Caenorhabditis elegans: one gene and its partners. The protein of the gene in region 1 interacts with the protein of each later gene in a pairwise test. Each region holds a gene or a part of one and is shown on either strand. Other genes may lie near its edges.

Region 1 (5,088 bases):
TTACCTGTTGAATTCCAAGACTTCTCCACTCTGTTTCGGACATCAATCGATTTTTTGGGATAAGCTTGGAAACATCCTTGGTGACATGAACGTGACGGTACTCGAACTCATCATCTTCGTATTTGTTTGAATAGTAGAAATCATTGTTTCCAGTTGTCATTTTGTTGGTTGGCGTGAGAAGGTGCGACTCTGAAATAATTCATTTTATTAACAAGCATCGGGAAATAGAAACGGACAAAAATAAGGAAAGAATAAAAAATATTGAAAAAAAAGAGAAGAATGGGAATGAGACAAGAGTGAGAATGGTGAGGAACACTGCATGTACAGACAAATCGATAAATGCTCATTGCTGACGCTGTCTGAATTGATCGATAACATCAACAGAGTCGAGTTTCCCGCGTGTTTCAAAATACTCGTCCTTTGACATTGGAATTTGACAGTGCTTGGTTGACCCAGCAGAGGAAGATGATCTGAAATAAAAAAGGTAATAACATGAAAGCTAATAAAATTTTCAAAACTCACTGAACATTCAAAAACGTCTTCTTTTTGTCACTTTGTAAGTTGCTGTCGACTGTCACTGAATTAGAAAAATTAGATAATCAGAAAACGAAAATAATCTCTTCGAAACTCACACATAAAGCTATGTTTAGGTGAAGAATAATCCTTAGAGGAGGTTGGGGATGACATTAGGAACTGCAAAATTGTAATGTAAAATCCACTGAAGATGATCGAAGATGAAATCACAACGAGATATAAAAAATTGAAGGTGAGAAGGAATGATATTCAAAATTTTGCCAGGTCCTTAGCGTCGACAGACGCAGATACACGATCAAATCGACAAACAAATCCTTCGTCAGTTACTAGTACTAGGAATCGGCCACATGTAGAGAAAGAAGCTTGCCGAACTGTACGTGAGCCAACGGAACAAGTGTGAGTCCTGTAAAAAAAAAAACAGGAATTTATACTGGTAATCACAGCAAAAATATTTCTATAATTTTTAAGAGATATCGAACATCTCAGAAATTATTTTTCTTGATATTTTACTTACGGATTGGTTTCTTCATTATTTCTCAAATCGAAAAACATCACAGAACCACCAGCTCCACCGCACACCAGCCATCGTCTTCTTGGATCAACGGCGAATTTGATAAACCATGCAGAACCACTCGGAACATTCATTGTACGAAATTTCGTTGTACACGACTTTGGACGGAGAACATTTCCATGAATGCGATTTTCAACTTCTCCCTTAGGTGGCCCAAATCTCCAAAAATGAATTGCCTTTTCATTGCCACATCCTTTTGATAGTGCGTAGTTAGTACCGATAAGAAATCGAATGCAATCCACATAATCAGAATGCATATCAGTTGATACGGAGGATGGAGTATAAATTGGAAGAAGGCAGCTCCTGAAAAAGAAGAAAACGATAGAACCAGATTCGTTGAAACAACTTTAAAAAAGTAATGGATGCCGAAAATCAACGTACGGTCGGGGTATGAGCTCTCTGTGAAGTTCGAGCAATTGATCTTCTTCTTTGTCGGGAATGTTGCGAGAAACTGCAGACTTTCTAAAAATACAAAAATGAATTACATTATGATTTGATAGCCCTGGTCTCTTTATTTACCAGTCTTTTATCCAAAACTCAAGTTTCAAAAATATTTTTATATACAACAACAGCAACAATTTTCGCGTTAAGGACTGATCAAATACTAGAAGGAACTAGAAAATGTTAGCTGAATAATTGATTTACCTCATTGTTCCTTTCGAAACATACGGAATATCTTGTGATTGTGTTAGCACATTTATTTTATCTTGGTGAAGAGCTTTGCACGCTCGTTCCAAATGTTCCTTTACTTGTTTCACAGATAAATCCCACTCCATGAGTTGATGATCGAATCCACACGATAAAATGAAGTCTCCGTCGGTTGACCAATCCTAAAATGAGAAATTCGAAACGTAAGTAAATTTAATAAACCAACCACAGAAAGAATTGTTCCAGCATGACACTCGAGACCCCCAATAACAATCAGACATGCTTCGTTTCGAATATGATGAATCCGGATAGATTGATCTGATGAAGCACAGACAATCAGATTTGAGTTGGCAGGACACGTACGAATGTCATTGATTTCCCATCCAACACTCCGAAGACGCTAAAACTCCAAATTATTTCAGTAATTTTTGATTATTTACATTCGACAGCTTCCTCGAGACGTAGTCGATAACGTAAATGTGACCCAAAGTTCCACCCGTTACAACTTTAAAGGGATTTCGGTCGTTTTCAGCTTCATATGTGTCGTAACACCAGGTAACAGTGAAGAGCGACTCCTCTCGTTCGACCTTTGATGATTTATCGGTAGGAAAATTACAAGACCACTGCAGCTCAATGTTATTTATGTCGATGGGAACAGAATACATGTGAAGCTGAAAAACAAATATTTATACCTCATTGTCAGTTTCCTGCTAAATAACGCTTACAAAGCTTCCTCCGACAGTTGCAACCGCTTGTTCCTCATCTATTCCTGCGTATTGATTGAATGCACATCCGTAAATAGCTTTCTTCTGATCTTCAAGTAGCTTGGCAGTTAGTACAAAAGGTCGTTTTCCGTAATCCTCTGTACTTCGATCAAACCCGTGAAGATTTAATGATTTGAACTTTTTCGTGTGCTCCATTCAGGTTTTTGGGAAAAAGGCAAGAAACAATATATAACAAAATAAAAACTTCACAGTAAAAACATAAAAAAGTCGATTAACTATCAAATTTGCAGTGAAAAAGGAAAAAAATGACAATAAAAACAACAGAAAAACTAAAATATGGCCGCTCGCGCGCATTTCTCGTTCAAATTGCATTAGTGGTGAAAAGCGCGGCGAGACCCAACGAGCGCATAACCTCATGCACCTTTAAAGTGTTATTTTTTTATTACAATTTTTTGTTCTCATTTTGGATTCTGTTCGAAAGTTCCGGGAGGTATTTGTGATTTCGATTGGGAATATGATAGAAAAGACAGTTGCCAGCTTAAATTTTGTATTGTCGTGAAGTACCACTTCCAATTTCGGAGTGGATTCGAACGGGATTAAGTAGATTTTGTACTCGGCTTTTTTCGCAAGGAGCGAAACTAATAATTTTGTATATTTTTTTTGTATGATCCTATATTGCTACGTGAGCTATTGTCAGTTAAAAAAAATGTTTTTGTGGTCTTTTTCAGATTTCAGAGCGATCAACTTGGGGGTATTCATTCATATTTATTATTTAGTAAAATTGTCCTTATATCAAAAGATCCACTTTGTGAATTCCGTAGACTTCTTTCATTTTTGCTATTTCGAATTTGTCTTCGTCGGCTGCTGACTCATCCATATCCCTGCGTCTCCAATGCCTGATTCTCTGCGTCTTGTGTGATTTTTTGTTGCTTCAACCTGTTCTTCTAGCGGTTGCCTTTTTCTCATGCTGTGACTGTTCCCGTTCATTACTAATTCTTAATTTCATAATATTTTAGTGTTATCGTTTTTTCTTCAATTTTTTAGCCAAAATGTTATCTCGAACGAGCTATAGTTATTTTCAGATCGCCTGTATGAAATATGACATGAACCATCGCAAAAATTCTGATGATACTCCACCGGCGTCTAGGACCGTCAAAGAAATGATGGCAGAGTTTCAAAATAAACTGGACGACGGAGACAACAGATTCCGGAAGCAACCACCACCGCCACCTTGTGAGTCTGAAACAGAGAAGACGTCTTGTATTTACTGTCGACAATTGATTGAGGCGTAGCAAAAAACTTCGTTTGCTTTGTTATCTGTGGAGAAAATAAAAGTTACGAAATTTCTTGAAAAAAAAAACTAAAAAATAATTTTTTTAAAAACTATTTATGTCTGTATTTATTGATAATAACTAAATAGATCATATGATCATAGTATTGAAAAAGAGAGAACCGAAAATCGGGTTGACAATGATTCTGTGAGTTAAAAAAAACAGTCAATTTTTCGAAAAAAAAATCTGCCTTAAACTCCACCAACAGTGAATCGAATTAATTTTTAAAGGAAATTAAGTTCTCATTTCAATTTATATATTCGTTGTTAGAATCTAGACGAAAATTCATAAATATTTTGTTACTATCATTTTTTTTTCTATTAACTTTTACAATATCGTAGAACAACTGATTTCCGTGTTAAAATTGTTTTTTGACTGTTCTTCTTCCTATTGCTTTTTGTTAACGAAAAATGCCCAATTTTCTTCAAAGTTCCTATCAAATCTGTACAGACGCGTGACCGATTGCGAAAGTAGTCAAAAAGAAGTATAAAGGCTTTTCGCAATATTGTTTGCCTAAAGGTGCCACTTGACAGATTTTACTCCTTTGTCGCCAAGAAGTGTACTAGTAATAAATTTTAGAAAATTGGGTTGTGTCCTTATATTAATTACTTGGATTATCGCCAACATTTGATTAAAATAGTCATTCTTGTGTGAACACTTGCCAAAAATATATTCACTATTTAACTTCTGTTGGTATTATTGTTCCACCCCCCGGAAGTGACCAATTTTCCGTCTGCCACTGTGTGTGCCTAGTGGTATGACTCATTTATTGAAAGAAAAACAATTATTTTATCATCTCTCAAAATGAGTGAAGCAGATACAATTACAGCAATTAGATAGTTTAAATATACCTATGAGGTTAACAGATTGGAAGATTCATTTTTAAAACAATTTTGCAGCCCCAAGACGAGCTCCACCACCGCCTCCTCATCGGAAACCTGCATCATTATCTCCACCTCCAGACGATGAGAATACAATTCGACCGCCGTCTTCTTCAGAATCGTCCGAAAATATTCCTGAAGAACCGCAGGAATTGATTACGCCAAATACAACGAGACGAAGTCTTGGACCAAAGCCAACTGTTGCTCCAAAACCATTATTTCTGAATGGATTGGTGAGATTTTAAATTAAATAATATTTTTATGAAAAATAAAAAAGGTCTTCCCATACTGGAAAAAGTTAACCAAATCGTCTGTCACATTATTATGAAAAAAGTGATGAGCTCTCAATTGGGCAGATGTGCAAATAGAGCTTGTGCCCCCGATCGTGTCCCCATTTT
Region 2 (3,267 bases), on another chromosome or scaffold:
CTAGAGCCAAATGACCATAATAAACTCTTTTCATTTCATAGTAAACAAATTTCTAGACATTAAAAAAAACCACGATGTAATCTGGAAACTCTTACGCCACCGTACCACTACAGTAACCCAACAGTATCCTTCCACTAACTCCAACTCAGTATCCCATCAAAAGAAAACAACTGAAACTTACTTGCACTACTCGAAAATTATACATAAATTTTTTCATATCTAGAAAAGTCTAGAATATACTAGGACATAATAGAACATATTGAGCTTATTTACAGATGCAGAGGCTTTTTAAGAGGGAAGCAATCACGAAACGTCCTCTTGGAAATCAATGCTGCCGGATTGACAGATCTCAAATTGTAGGCACTGACGGCTCAAAATGCTTAGACATGTTTAAGCTCGATCTTAGCTTGAATCCATGCCAATCAATAGACTTGTTTATACACGTCTGAGATTAAATGCATGACATCAGATCATCTCTCTGATTCAGATGAGAGAGAGCTGACCAAATACACTTCCTTCAATAAGACACCATTTACTATTGATCAAAGATTTATTACCAGTTATCAATGTGAGCAGCAATTGCATCCGCAACCGGTGACGGCTGTGGTTGTCGACGCTCCAGTTGTAGCTCCTCCAATAGTGGCCGTTGTGCTGGATCCAGTTGGGGTCATTGTCGATGCTAAAAAAGAATTTCCGTCCAAACTCAAACTAAAAGAAAATACTGAAATTTACCGGTAGGAGCTGCGGTTGAAACTGCAGCAGGTGGGGCGGTTGCCATGCCAGTTCTGGCCTTAACGAACTTTCCCTTTGAATCGCGCTGACGAGCTCCCTGTCGTTTAAATTGTTGTTTCGATTGAGGCATCGTAAATAGTACTGATTTTATTTGAAAATCGAAAGCGAAATTATTTGCTGATGACCTTTTGAGATAAGAGATAGACCCGGTCAAATTTGGAATGTTTCAGGTGCTTTTTGTTTTGGTGTGGTTTTTTAAAAACTCAACTGTTCTAACGAGGAACAAAATGAAATCGATCCATTAAAAATCGAATAGTAAAATATTTACAGTATCCGTTTAAAGGCACACTATTGAAGCTTTGAATCATTGAATTTCCAATACTTCCTGTCAACAATCTTTCGTAGAGTCTGTATAACTGCGAAGTCTGGCTTATCGGACGGAAACAGGAGTGTGCGGCAACTTGACCTCTATGCCTACTAGGCAACCTGCACCTGTCCATGTGCCTATAAGGCAGCCTACGCATACCTTCTTGTCTACAGGACAACTTTCGGCTACCTACGTTAATTCTGAAAGGACTGGAGAGAAATAAAAAATAGATAAAATTTGAGTGAATAAAGCTTTCAGAATTTAGGCATACCTCCTTGCCTATAATGCAACCTATGCCTGTTTGTGTTCCTACAACTCTGATGAATACTTTTTCATACTTCTATGAGTTTAAGAATAAAATACGGGAATCTGTAAGCATTGTACAAAATTTACATTAATTAATTACTCTATATTTTCTACATATTAGTGATGCATCTCCATTAGTACTTCAGTCTCTAATAATGCGTCTTCCCAAGAGTCACCTCTACAGTTTCGACATTTTGGGTAGGATTTTTTATTTTTTGGCTAAGCCCCCTAAGCAGCCCATATATAGTAAAATATCAAGTAGTGAAACAGTATTTGCCCAAAAAATGTGGTGGCGGTAGCGCGGTGTTATTTAAAAGAACTCTTAATTTGACAATATATAAATAACGAAATGGCTTTGTGTTGGAGCAGGATTATACTAGCCCAACTCGGAGAATAATAAATTATTCGAAATTTTCAAACTATAATTGTTTTTTTAACAAATATTATAAAACACAGAAAATGATAATTGACAATTACGATTCTCGTCCAGCCGTGTTTCCCAATTTCTCTTTCCATGAGGTCTCTCTCTCACGAATCGCTATTCTCTTTTTCGCGATGTCTCAGCTTGCGCATTTCGTGGATAGTTCTACTGACACATTTCTCGTAACTGGCGCATTTCTCGACTCTATTACGCGTATTTATTTTTCGTATTTTGCAACGTTTTCTTATAATTTTAAAGCCATTTGCTTTCAAATTTATGTATTTCAGTCATCGAAAATTATTAGAATATTGTAGCCAAACAGAAATATTATAATCAATCTAAAAATATACGTTTAATTCGTTTGGCTCTTTGAAGGCAGAAGTGACAGAATACAATTAAGTTAAATACGTTTAATCGGATTAAGTTTTCTTCAAAGATTACACTGAATATGTGAAATCATTTATTGATTTAGTAATATCGTTTTGTTTTTGTCTTCTCTGAACAATTAACCCGTTCCACCTCGTATTAAATTAATTAATTTATAATGTGATCCTTTTTTTGGCATGTCGATTCATTATGATATAACTTACTAATTTCCGAGACTTTCTTGCTTTATTTTTGGCATTATTAGAGGATGTTACAGGGTGATGATCAAGTACCACGTGTCGCGAAGCGCCCGACTCTGGGCTTACTGGAGCACCCTGCCACATCGAATGCTCAAGAAATACCCGGAGCAAACTATCTTCTACGCGACTTTCGGAGTAGCCACACTATTGATTGGCGGATATAAAATGAAGAAGTACTTGACAGAAAGTGATAAGCCATTCTACCGCGGATACTACGACGTCGTCCGTTCCAACGACCCAATCGCACAAAATTGGAGAAAACCAGAAGAATATCCAGCACCGTATCTTCTTTCAAGTGTTGAGACAGCTCATTGATCAATCGTCCAAAATAATCAACGAGAAGCCAATAAGTCGTAGACGATTTTCGATTTTCACTGTAAATTGGACACATTCGGTGTTTTATTTTTTAGAAGAGTTTTTAAAATGTAAATGAAAGTTTTCCTTTTTAAAATTTGTTTTCATTTGTCTACTGAAGTGTTTCAGCCACAACAATTATATTTTCTATATGTATTTATATTAATTTTATTTTTCATTTTTATCCAAAGTTTCAGGCTGATTCGAGCTCAAAGATGCACAATCTTCTGTCTCGTGCTAACGCACTCCTAGCGTTCACTCTTTGGGTGATGGCCGCAGTCACAGCAGCTTGTTTCCTGTCAACAGTTTTCCTCGACTACACTGTTCCAACCAAGCTCACTGTCAACGATGTCAAAGTGTAGGTTTTATAAGAGAAATAAAAAAATTGCGAAATTCTTTCAAGCGTTTCTCCGAAAACATTTTAAACGTATTTCTGTAAATCTTATTCCATTTTCAGGAGA
Region 3 (3,931 bases), 4.6 Mb from region 1:
GTGTAAGTTTTACATAAGTAATTGGAGAATCCGAGTTCATGATTAATTTCAGGAGTCTATTCCGGATGTGGATTCAGCTTTAGAGCCGACTCGCGATAAGCTTAGACCTGTCGCAAAAGAGCAGCTCATCGAAGCCGAGGAAGATCAGGCTTTCTTGAAGAAGTTGATGGACATCCTGGCAACTTCAACCACTACGGCCGCTCCCAAGCCGAGGACTATGCAAGAAGAGCCTACCGATAAGGACAGTCCACTCGCCAATTTCTTCTCCAACTTGCTCAATAAGGTAAATCAATCTTAGATCTTTTTTCTATGTGAATTTCCATATTTCAGGACAAGCCGAGCAAGGTGAGCTCTCCTTCCACTGTTTCCCAGCCGATGGATGCCGCAGCCACCCAGGCCCAACTCGATCGTCTTCTGAAGTCTGCGCAAAGCCCGAAACCTCAACCCCGGGACAGTGATGCATAACGTCATTTTCATAATCTATTTAAATATTTTAAGCTTTATCGCCGGTCATTTTATTCTCCTTTGCGATACGATTTTTATTATATGCTGTTTCTGTAAATACCCACACAACCATAATGTAGTTCGTTTCAAGTTTATGATTACACAAAAGTAGAATAATATAATACGCGGGGACAGAGATCACTTGGGTTTAGAAGCATTAGTAAGGTAAATGTCCATGAAAGCGGCGACGAATCCTTCAAGATGGAAAATTGCTTTTTGTCCGAGAACAAGGCGATGCTCGAATTTCGCTGCTTCACTGACAACTTCACGTGCAATTTGTGGCGGACATTTGGGAAGGAGATGCTCGAGAAGTTTCTGAAAATGTATTTCTAAATATTTTTGAACATTTTATACTATTTGTGTGCTTATAACTCACCTTAAAAATGACAGTTGGTGGAATACATCTGGAGAGCAATTCGTACAATCGTTCGCGAACTTTCAGAAGCATATCGGAGCTCTGTTTCTGGAGGATCAGACGAGCAGTCTCTTGGATATAAATCTCCCATTCCGGAACCGGAATTACTACACTTTCAGCCACACCACTCTCGTTCTCCATTCTTAAAGCCTCAGTCATCAGAATAGCTCTTCTCAGATTTCCTTCAGACTTCTCCACAATCTTTTGCAAAACGTTCTCCGGAAGTAGAAAGCTCTCCCGTTCAATCACTTTCCGCAAGACTTTGGTCACATCTTCATCGGTTGGAGCTGGCACATTGATGATGATGCAACGAGATTGAAGTGGCTCAATGATACGGGACAGGGATTCACAGCTCAAAACGATTTTACAGTTATTCGCGTACTTCTCCATAGTTCGACGAAGTCCGTGTTGAGCATCACGAGTCAGTGAGTCCGCTTCACAAAGAACGACAACTTTGAACGATCTTTGAGAAGTTGATTCGATTTGAGACGTTTGTGCCATTTCTTTAACGAGATCCTGCACAACAACTCGATCATAGATTCCAACATCAGACGGCGTCATTTCGATGTGATAATTGCTCGAGACAGTCTGTATTTCAAGTTTTTTATTCGACGGACTAGTGAACGACTTCATGATGAGCTGCGTTTTCTCGACTCCAACACCGTAAAGCTCTCTGAAAAATATTATTTTATTTACTGAATTTACCAATAATTAAACCTCAACAGACACTTGATCCGTGTCTTTTTTCCAGCTCCACTGGGACCACAGAACAAGAGATGCGGCATACAGTCTGCGGAGAGAAACTTCAAATGATTGGCCTGCTCGATGTGATAATCAACGCCATCCTTTCCCAACAAGTCCTTTGGTCGATATTTGTCCACCCACAACGCCATTTTTGCACTAGAAAAGATTAATATTATATTGTCAGAGTAATTAAAGTCCAAAATAAGCGCGAGAAATAGAAGGTGGAACCCGAAAAGTAATTCCGCGGCACGCGCTTTTATGGTAAATTAAAAAATTAAACCGTGCCGCGAATTGCGCTTCGGGAATCCGGATCCACCGTATATTTCTTGCTAAAAAAATTAAAAGACATATTCAAAGATATCACAATTGTCGCAAACAATTGAATAGAGGAATAAATAAATAGAAAATAAATAAAGAGAATTGTAATAAATTAAAAGAATTCATTTTCAGAAACTCGACAAGTCAACAACGAAATATTTTACAGGTTTAGCCTAGTGAGACGAGTGAGTGAAGATAAATAAGAAAATAATTGAGATATCTACTTGATATTCATTTTACGCTTGAGTGCGATAATGTCGTCACGGCGCTTCTTGTTCTCCACTTGTTGTTTCTCGAGGTTCGTGGCAGCTCTTCCGGGGATTAATCCTTCCTCCAGTGCCAAAGTGAACTCGCGATCCGTCAATTGAGTCGTGTCGACGAACACTTTTCTCGTAGAGTGTGGTGTGTAACCAGCACGTCGTGGAACTAAAAATTGCTATGAATTAGCGAAAAAAAGATAAATATGAATAGTTACCTCTAGTTGGAGTGGTTCCTTTTGGCGTGGAAATGTACTCGGTGAATGTATCATCTTCTGGGACAGTTGCAGGAATGATTTTTCGAGAAGTTAAACGGCATGGTTTCGGGATTTGTGACTTGGTGAGCTTCTTCACGTCCACATGAGATCTTGCAACGGACTTTGTCTTTTTGGTAGAGGTGGTGGCAGCAGATGACGATGAGCAGCCAGCTCGTGAGCTGACAAGAGCGGGAAAATCATCAGCAGATTTATCCCCGAATTGGAAGGACATTTTCTCAGGATCCTGAACTTGCCAATTGCGCGCAGCAGATCTTGTAGTTGATCTATCAACTGGGTCACGTCTTGGCACACTTTTCGGGGTAGCAAGTCTCCTGATAGCTTCTGGGACGTCGCCGGTCATGAATTCGTGTCGTTTCTTCAATCGTTCTTGACGCTCTCCGAGTGTTTCTTCTTTTTCCATCTCTCTTGCATGAATCATTGCGAATCTGTCTCTTCCACTGGATGGAGCACGCTGACGAACTGGCGTAATTCCTCTGTTCTCGATCGGCATTCCTGGTCGCTCAGATGTTTGAGGAGTCGACGAACTAGCGCGGAGAGACAGTCTTGTCGAAAGACGATGAACTCTCGGGCGTGACTTCACCTCGAAGCTTTGCAGATCGATTCCCAAACTGCCACAGAGACGGTTTCTCAAGTCATCATCCAAAACGACAGCAACCGCATTTGTCGGAGTATTCTCGTCTGTAATAAAGCTGTTTAAATTTCAACTAAATGGAATATAACTTACGAACAAATCTGCCAGTAGTATTCTCAGTTTCTTCTTCCTCTTCAACTGTGAATGTGCGATTGGCAGGTGCTTCGTCGGTGTCCATAGCCTCGGCTTCCGGCTCTTCCCTGATTGCCTCCCCGTTTCCGGCATTATTTTGGCCAGCGAGAAACTGAAAAAGTTAAATTAATCACATTGTTTCGACTGAGTTCAAACCTCCAAAAGACGCGATTGAAGTTCCGATTTCTTTCCCGCAGTCGAAGCCCTTTTCTTCTTTAACTCCTTGCGAAGCTTGTCGCATGTCATGTTGAGCACGTCCTCTTCGGCGAGCTCTTTATTTTTGGCTGACATTTTACTGAAATTATTATTTTTATTGAATAGTGAGAACAGAAAAGCAAATGAAACAAGGAACAAATGAACAAGAAACAAAATAGGACTCAAGAAATTTCCCTCCATCGCTGTTTGAAAAATTGTGTTTTTCGCGCGGTGTACGTTGGAGCGCTGTTGCTTTCTTATTGTGTGTAGTCCTCTCGAATAAAGAAATCAATATTCGTATTGTTTATTTCGTCTGAAATTATTCGTTTCTTCGAAGAATTCTTCTCAAAATGGGCCTTGTGGATTACGCAGGAAGTGAATCAGAAAGTGATGAAGAAATGGAAACACAACAAAAAGTAAGCAAATTATTCTTTATTCAGTTTGAAAACATTTTCGA
Region 4 (4,297 bases), 1.4 Mb from region 1:
AAAGTTAATTTAAAAACAGATAAACTTCGCTAAAAAGGAATTTTATTGAAAAATGTAAGCAAAATTACCATGAAAGCAGTTGCAAAAAAACTACCATAAATTTTTTTGCGCCCCGAGACCCATCTGAACAAATCCGTGTGCCTTTAAAAAAGCATGCCAAAATCTTGTGAAATTACAATATAAAAAATAAAAAAAATCCTGAAAGTTGAACTCCTTCTCTCAAAACAAATATTTACTTGAAGCAATCTAAAAATATGAAAAAGTGAAAAACCGACGGAACGGAACATCAATCTGCCAAGCCTTTGAAAATGTATGGAAAACGAGATTGAAATCCGGATTGGGCGGGAATCATGCCATTCAAAAAGAGCGAAATTGTTCTATAATTGCTGGTTGTGTAGTCAATATATTATCCGAATTGATTTTGAAAAATTCATAAGCAATAAAAAATAACGAAAATGGTTAACAAATAATAACAACATTTGGGTGTAATTTTAAAATATGAAAATGATTAATTTATTTTAGGAGAGCCCGTGGCAGTATCGGTGGATTCTGTGTCTAATTTTCCAATTTCTTCTAGGCTTTCTGGCTTTTCTTCCACAACTTCCTCTTTCAATTGAGCATTCTTCCGTTCTGGAATAATTGAAAGAAGAGCATCTTTCCAGTTTTTGTGAACAGAGTAATGAACCAGAATTTCATAGACTTGATTGATAGTGAGTACCTGAAATCAGAAGAATATTATGGGACAAAAATATGGAAACCGATTACCCGTCGAGATTTCATGAGAAGATGTTCATCTAAAGGCAATTTTGCATGACCAAATCCTTTTTCTTGAGCGATTCGATAGCACAATCCTTTTTGAGAATTATGATCCACAATTCCTCCAATTACATACACTTTCGTATCATCAAGATCGCTCAGGACATTTTCAGATTCAGAAGTCAAATAAACTATTTCCTCTGGTTTAAATAAATTTTCCAATTTTTCTTGGTGAAGATGGATGTCTTGATTCAGGTTGTGCTCATTACCATCATAAATCTCAACAAAACCAATTAAAACACTTGTTGTGCGAAAACAAAATTACTTTTCTCGATGGTCCATCGAACCCCACAACATGAAATTGAAATGGATCAGGACTGTGTCTGTTCGCAGTATAACACCATCCGATTTGCTGAACTGTACGTTTTTGATCCTTTTCAATCATCAAATCGTCAAATGACATGTCCAAAGCAATTCGTTGCTAAAAAGTTGTTTTAGTCTAAGGAAATTGTCAGATTTTACCAGTTGAAAACATTTTTACTGTATGAATGTTCAAAAGTTAATGTTAAACAAATTACTGGAATCGTATATTACCTTGCTATTAGACTGAGCCATTGTTCTGAAATCTTTTCGTTTCCTCAACTTTGAAAGATCTCCCGATTCTTTCAGCGCTGCTCGTTTTTCCTTTTTTCGAATTCTTTCCGCTGCACGTTTGACTAACTTCTTTTCTTCCCATTTCACCTTGTATTTTTGACGTCGCAGTTGCTTTTTCGACATTCCCTCTGGTACTGCTGGAATATTATAATTCAATACATACTGATGCAACGGAAAACTCACGTTGGTCTTGATTTTGATGCTCCACATTATCTTCAAATTTTTCGATTGTTTCCTCCGACATAATTTTCCACTTAAAGATGCCAAAATGATATTTAGAATATATTTTTTAATGTTTTCAAAAAAAAAAATGAGAGAAATCAGTGAAATGCAAACATGCTCCAATGACAAACTAACAAACGACACTCCGATTTCGCGTCAAAAATTTTTTCAATTAAAAAATTTATTTCGTTTTTAGGTTAATTCTTTTATTTACACTCATTGCAAAAATATTATCAAGAATGGAGGAAGAAACAATTAAAGTCGAAAATCTGGATGATTCAATTGTATGTTTTCCTTTTAAATTCCAAAAATATTCCATATTTTAGACTATCGATCGAAATCCTGTGCCACTTGCTTTCTGTGCTCGACCAACACTTCCCGCAAAAATTGGAATGAAGACAGAAGATGGAATCGTCGATCAACTTTTGGATCTTGTTGATCCTATCACCGTTGTGAATCCTACTGAAATTCGCCAGGCTCCATCATTGAAAAGCTTCGGATGCGACACTGAAAGTGAATTTGAGTTTTCTGGAGATGATAGCGATTTCGAAAATATCAACGATTTACGAGCCGGTGCACTTGATTCTGATGAAGAGTTTGACAGGCTAGTAAAGTTTTCCGCAAAGATTATTGAGAAGACACACAAGTCAGAGTACCCGGATGAAAATGGAAAAAAGCAGCGGAAGCCAAAAAAGTCACAAAAAACGGTAAGGTTTCATTATTTTGAAATGTTTTTTCGAATGATTAGATTTCTAGCGTAATGTTCACGAGTATGATGATATGCCACCACTCGAGAATCTCAGTATTGAATGTAAAGGACAATTGCTGGAATTTGGTTTTGTAAGCAAAGTCGTGGATTGTCAAGGTAAATTGTCAAAAATGTCAACCTTATATAAAATGTTAATTGAATTGGTATTTCAGTTGTTATCATTTCAACATGCACAGAAGTTCTCGACTTCGATTCATTTCTTTTCGATCAAAAAGGAAATGCGTTGGGACAAATTTATGACATTTTTGGACAAGTCAAAAATCCACAATACGTTATTCGATTCAATTCTTGTGAAGAGGTGAAGCTTTTAGTAGACAAATAAAATATATAACAGAAGTTTTATAGGCATCGATGATACCCATTGACATGAAAGTATATTATGCTCCTACAGAAGAACAATTTTCCAAAACTCCATTCAAAGGACTTAATCTTGCTGCAGCAAATAGGGATGCTATTAAATCCCTAAATCGTCGCATTGATCATCAAGAAGCTGTTGCAAAAGCTGGTGAAACGATGGCTCAGGTTGGCATCGGTAGTGACGTGGAGTTCAGTGATGATGAAGCGGAGAAAGAATTTAAACGCACCACATGTAAGATATAATTGAAATTTACTTTCAAATTCTAGTAATTTTCAGATACCCAACCAGCTAGTCAAATGTCAAGAGGATTCGATTCGAACAGAGGGCGAAAACGAGATCGCCGCGGAGGACAAAAAGTTAGATTTTCTGCTCAGAATCCACCTGCCAGATCGGATAATCTTGGGCCCATCCCTCAGCAGCCATCTGCGCCACCGCCACCTGCTCGTCCAGCACAATCAACCGAATCAAATCCATATGCCGAATTCGGATGTCATTCTGGATTCAACGGACGTTTTGGAATTTAATTTTTTGTTAAAATATCGTTACACATTGAATACTTTGTTGGATATATTGTAACATTTTTTCGTTGTTATTGTTGCACTTTTGGAATTGACGCGTGAATAAACTTCATTTTTACATTTTAAAATCATAAATTGCTATAATATCAAAATGACGAATAGTCATACTCACAACGGAAACCGAATTTGGTTCATCTGCAGCTGGGAAAATGGTCCAATTTGTTATGGAATGGCTCTGTGAGTTCAAATTCTTCGCAGCTGTGAGCTATGCTCTGGAAATCGTATTTTTTCAGTGATCTTATTGGGGGAATTTCTTTGATTGCTTTCTCAGTTCTTCTCGTCGGAGTCATATTTTTCGGATGGTTTGGAATATTTCCAAAAGTTATTCGAGTAAGCTTCACGAGTAATTCTAATTTTTGTATGTTTTCTTTCAGCGTAAACTTCACGATTGAATTTTATATTTTTATTATAACGTTCAGAAGAAGGCGAGGCTCTATTACTCTATTTTAATAAAATATTTGAATTGACTAAAGTTTAATAAATATTATGCAGTGCTATGAAAAACTTGTGGGTAAAGTGGAATAGAGAAAAAAAGAGAAAAGAAAGGAACGGCAGGAAGAAGCTGGCTGAAAATTAGAATATCTAAAAAAAACAATTAATAAAAAAAGATTAACTGGAAGAAGGAAAGCAGCGGGTGGGTTGGAAAAGTGAAAAAAGGAAAGGCAGTATAATAGGAAAACAAGGATTTTTGAAACATAGAAAACAAGGAAAGCAAAAAAAGAAAACAACTGGAAATAAGGAAAGATTTAAAGCTCAGGCTATAATGAGTATGTAATTGAACTGAACAAATTAAAAAATAAAAACAAAAAAGATTCTCCTGCGATAAGACTAAATTACTTAGCGAAGTTAGGACAGGAGCAAACATCGATCAGGAAAATCAAACTTCAGCGATTCGCAAAATTGATGGATATACATATCGAGAAATTTTAAACAGTTTCCGCTTCTTTTTTGTTCAGAAAC

Evidence for each region.
Region 2: the proteins of mes-6 (region 1) and K12H4.5 interact in a two-hybrid assay, tested with the Caenorhabditis elegans proteins (one large-scale study listed by BioGRID).
Region 3: the proteins of mes-6 (region 1) and rfc-3 interact in a two-hybrid assay, tested with the Caenorhabditis elegans proteins (one large-scale study listed by BioGRID).
Region 4: the proteins of mes-6 (region 1) and F25H8.2 interact in a two-hybrid assay, tested with the Caenorhabditis elegans proteins (one large-scale study listed by BioGRID).

The regions. Positions count from the first base shown.
Region 1 is NC_003282.8:8,509,022-8,514,109, reverse strand, and holds mes-6 (Polycomb protein mes-6), read right to left. Parts: upstream 2,827-5,088; 5' UTR 2,674-2,826; coding exon 2,479-2,673; intron 2,425-2,478; coding exon 2,194-2,424; intron 2,154-2,193; coding exon 1,980-2,153; intron 1,936-1,979; coding exon 1,751-1,935; intron 1,568-1,750; coding exon 1,487-1,567; intron 1,409-1,486; coding exon 1,049-1,408; intron 938-1,048; coding exon 784-937; 3' UTR 688-783; downstream 1-687. Other genes in the region: cks-1 (Cyclin-dependent kinases regulatory subunit), read right to left, coding at 5-160; C09G4.4 (uncharacterized protein), read right to left, coding at 344-470, 523-577, 633-687; FYVE, RhoGEF and PH domain-containing protein tag-77, read left to right, coding at 3,570-3,711, 4,709-4,923. UniProt on the Caenorhabditis elegans protein: Polycomb group (PcG) protein. PcG proteins act by forming multiprotein complexes, which are required to maintain the transcriptionally repressive state of homeotic genes throughout development.
Region 2 is NC_003281.10:8,042,014-8,045,280, forward strand, and holds K12H4.5 (uncharacterized protein), read left to right. Parts: upstream 1-2,473; coding exon 2,474-2,767; downstream 2,768-3,267. Other genes in the region: K12H4.6 (uncharacterized protein), read right to left, coding at 564-679, 733-862; spcs-3 (Signal peptidase complex subunit 3), read left to right, coding at 3,022-3,164, 3,264-3,267.
Region 3 is NC_003282.8:13,093,650-13,097,580, reverse strand, and holds rfc-3 (Replication factor C subunit 3), read right to left. Parts: upstream 1,820-3,931; 5' UTR 1,813-1,819; coding exon 1,637-1,812; intron 1,593-1,636; coding exon 881-1,592; intron 820-880; coding exon 643-819; 3' UTR 501-642; downstream 1-500. Other genes in the region: dli-1 (Dynein light intermediate chain), read left to right, coding at 1-2, 53-283, 331-465; C39E9.12 (SAP domain-containing protein), read right to left, coding at 2,202-2,407, 2,457-3,194, 3,241-3,391, 3,436-3,570; prcc-1 (Proline-rich protein PRCC), read left to right, coding at 3,825-3,890.
Region 4 is NC_003282.8:9,930,482-9,934,778, forward strand, and holds F25H8.2 (H/ACA ribonucleoprotein complex non-core subunit NAF1), read left to right. Parts: upstream 1-1,753; 5' UTR 1,754-1,871; coding exon 1,872-1,916; intron 1,917-1,958; coding exon 1,959-2,339; intron 2,340-2,388; coding exon 2,389-2,497; intron 2,498-2,553; coding exon 2,554-2,699; intron 2,700-2,746; coding exon 2,747-2,990; intron 2,991-3,035; coding exon 3,036-3,283; 3' UTR 3,284-3,398; downstream 3,399-4,297. Other genes in the region: trmt-10A (tRNA (guanine(9)-N(1))-methyltransferase), read right to left, coding at 509-718, 766-1,035, 1,082-1,237, 1,351-1,547, 1,594-1,654; spe-29 (uncharacterized protein), read left to right, coding at 3,429-3,514, 3,571-3,667, 3,712-3,729.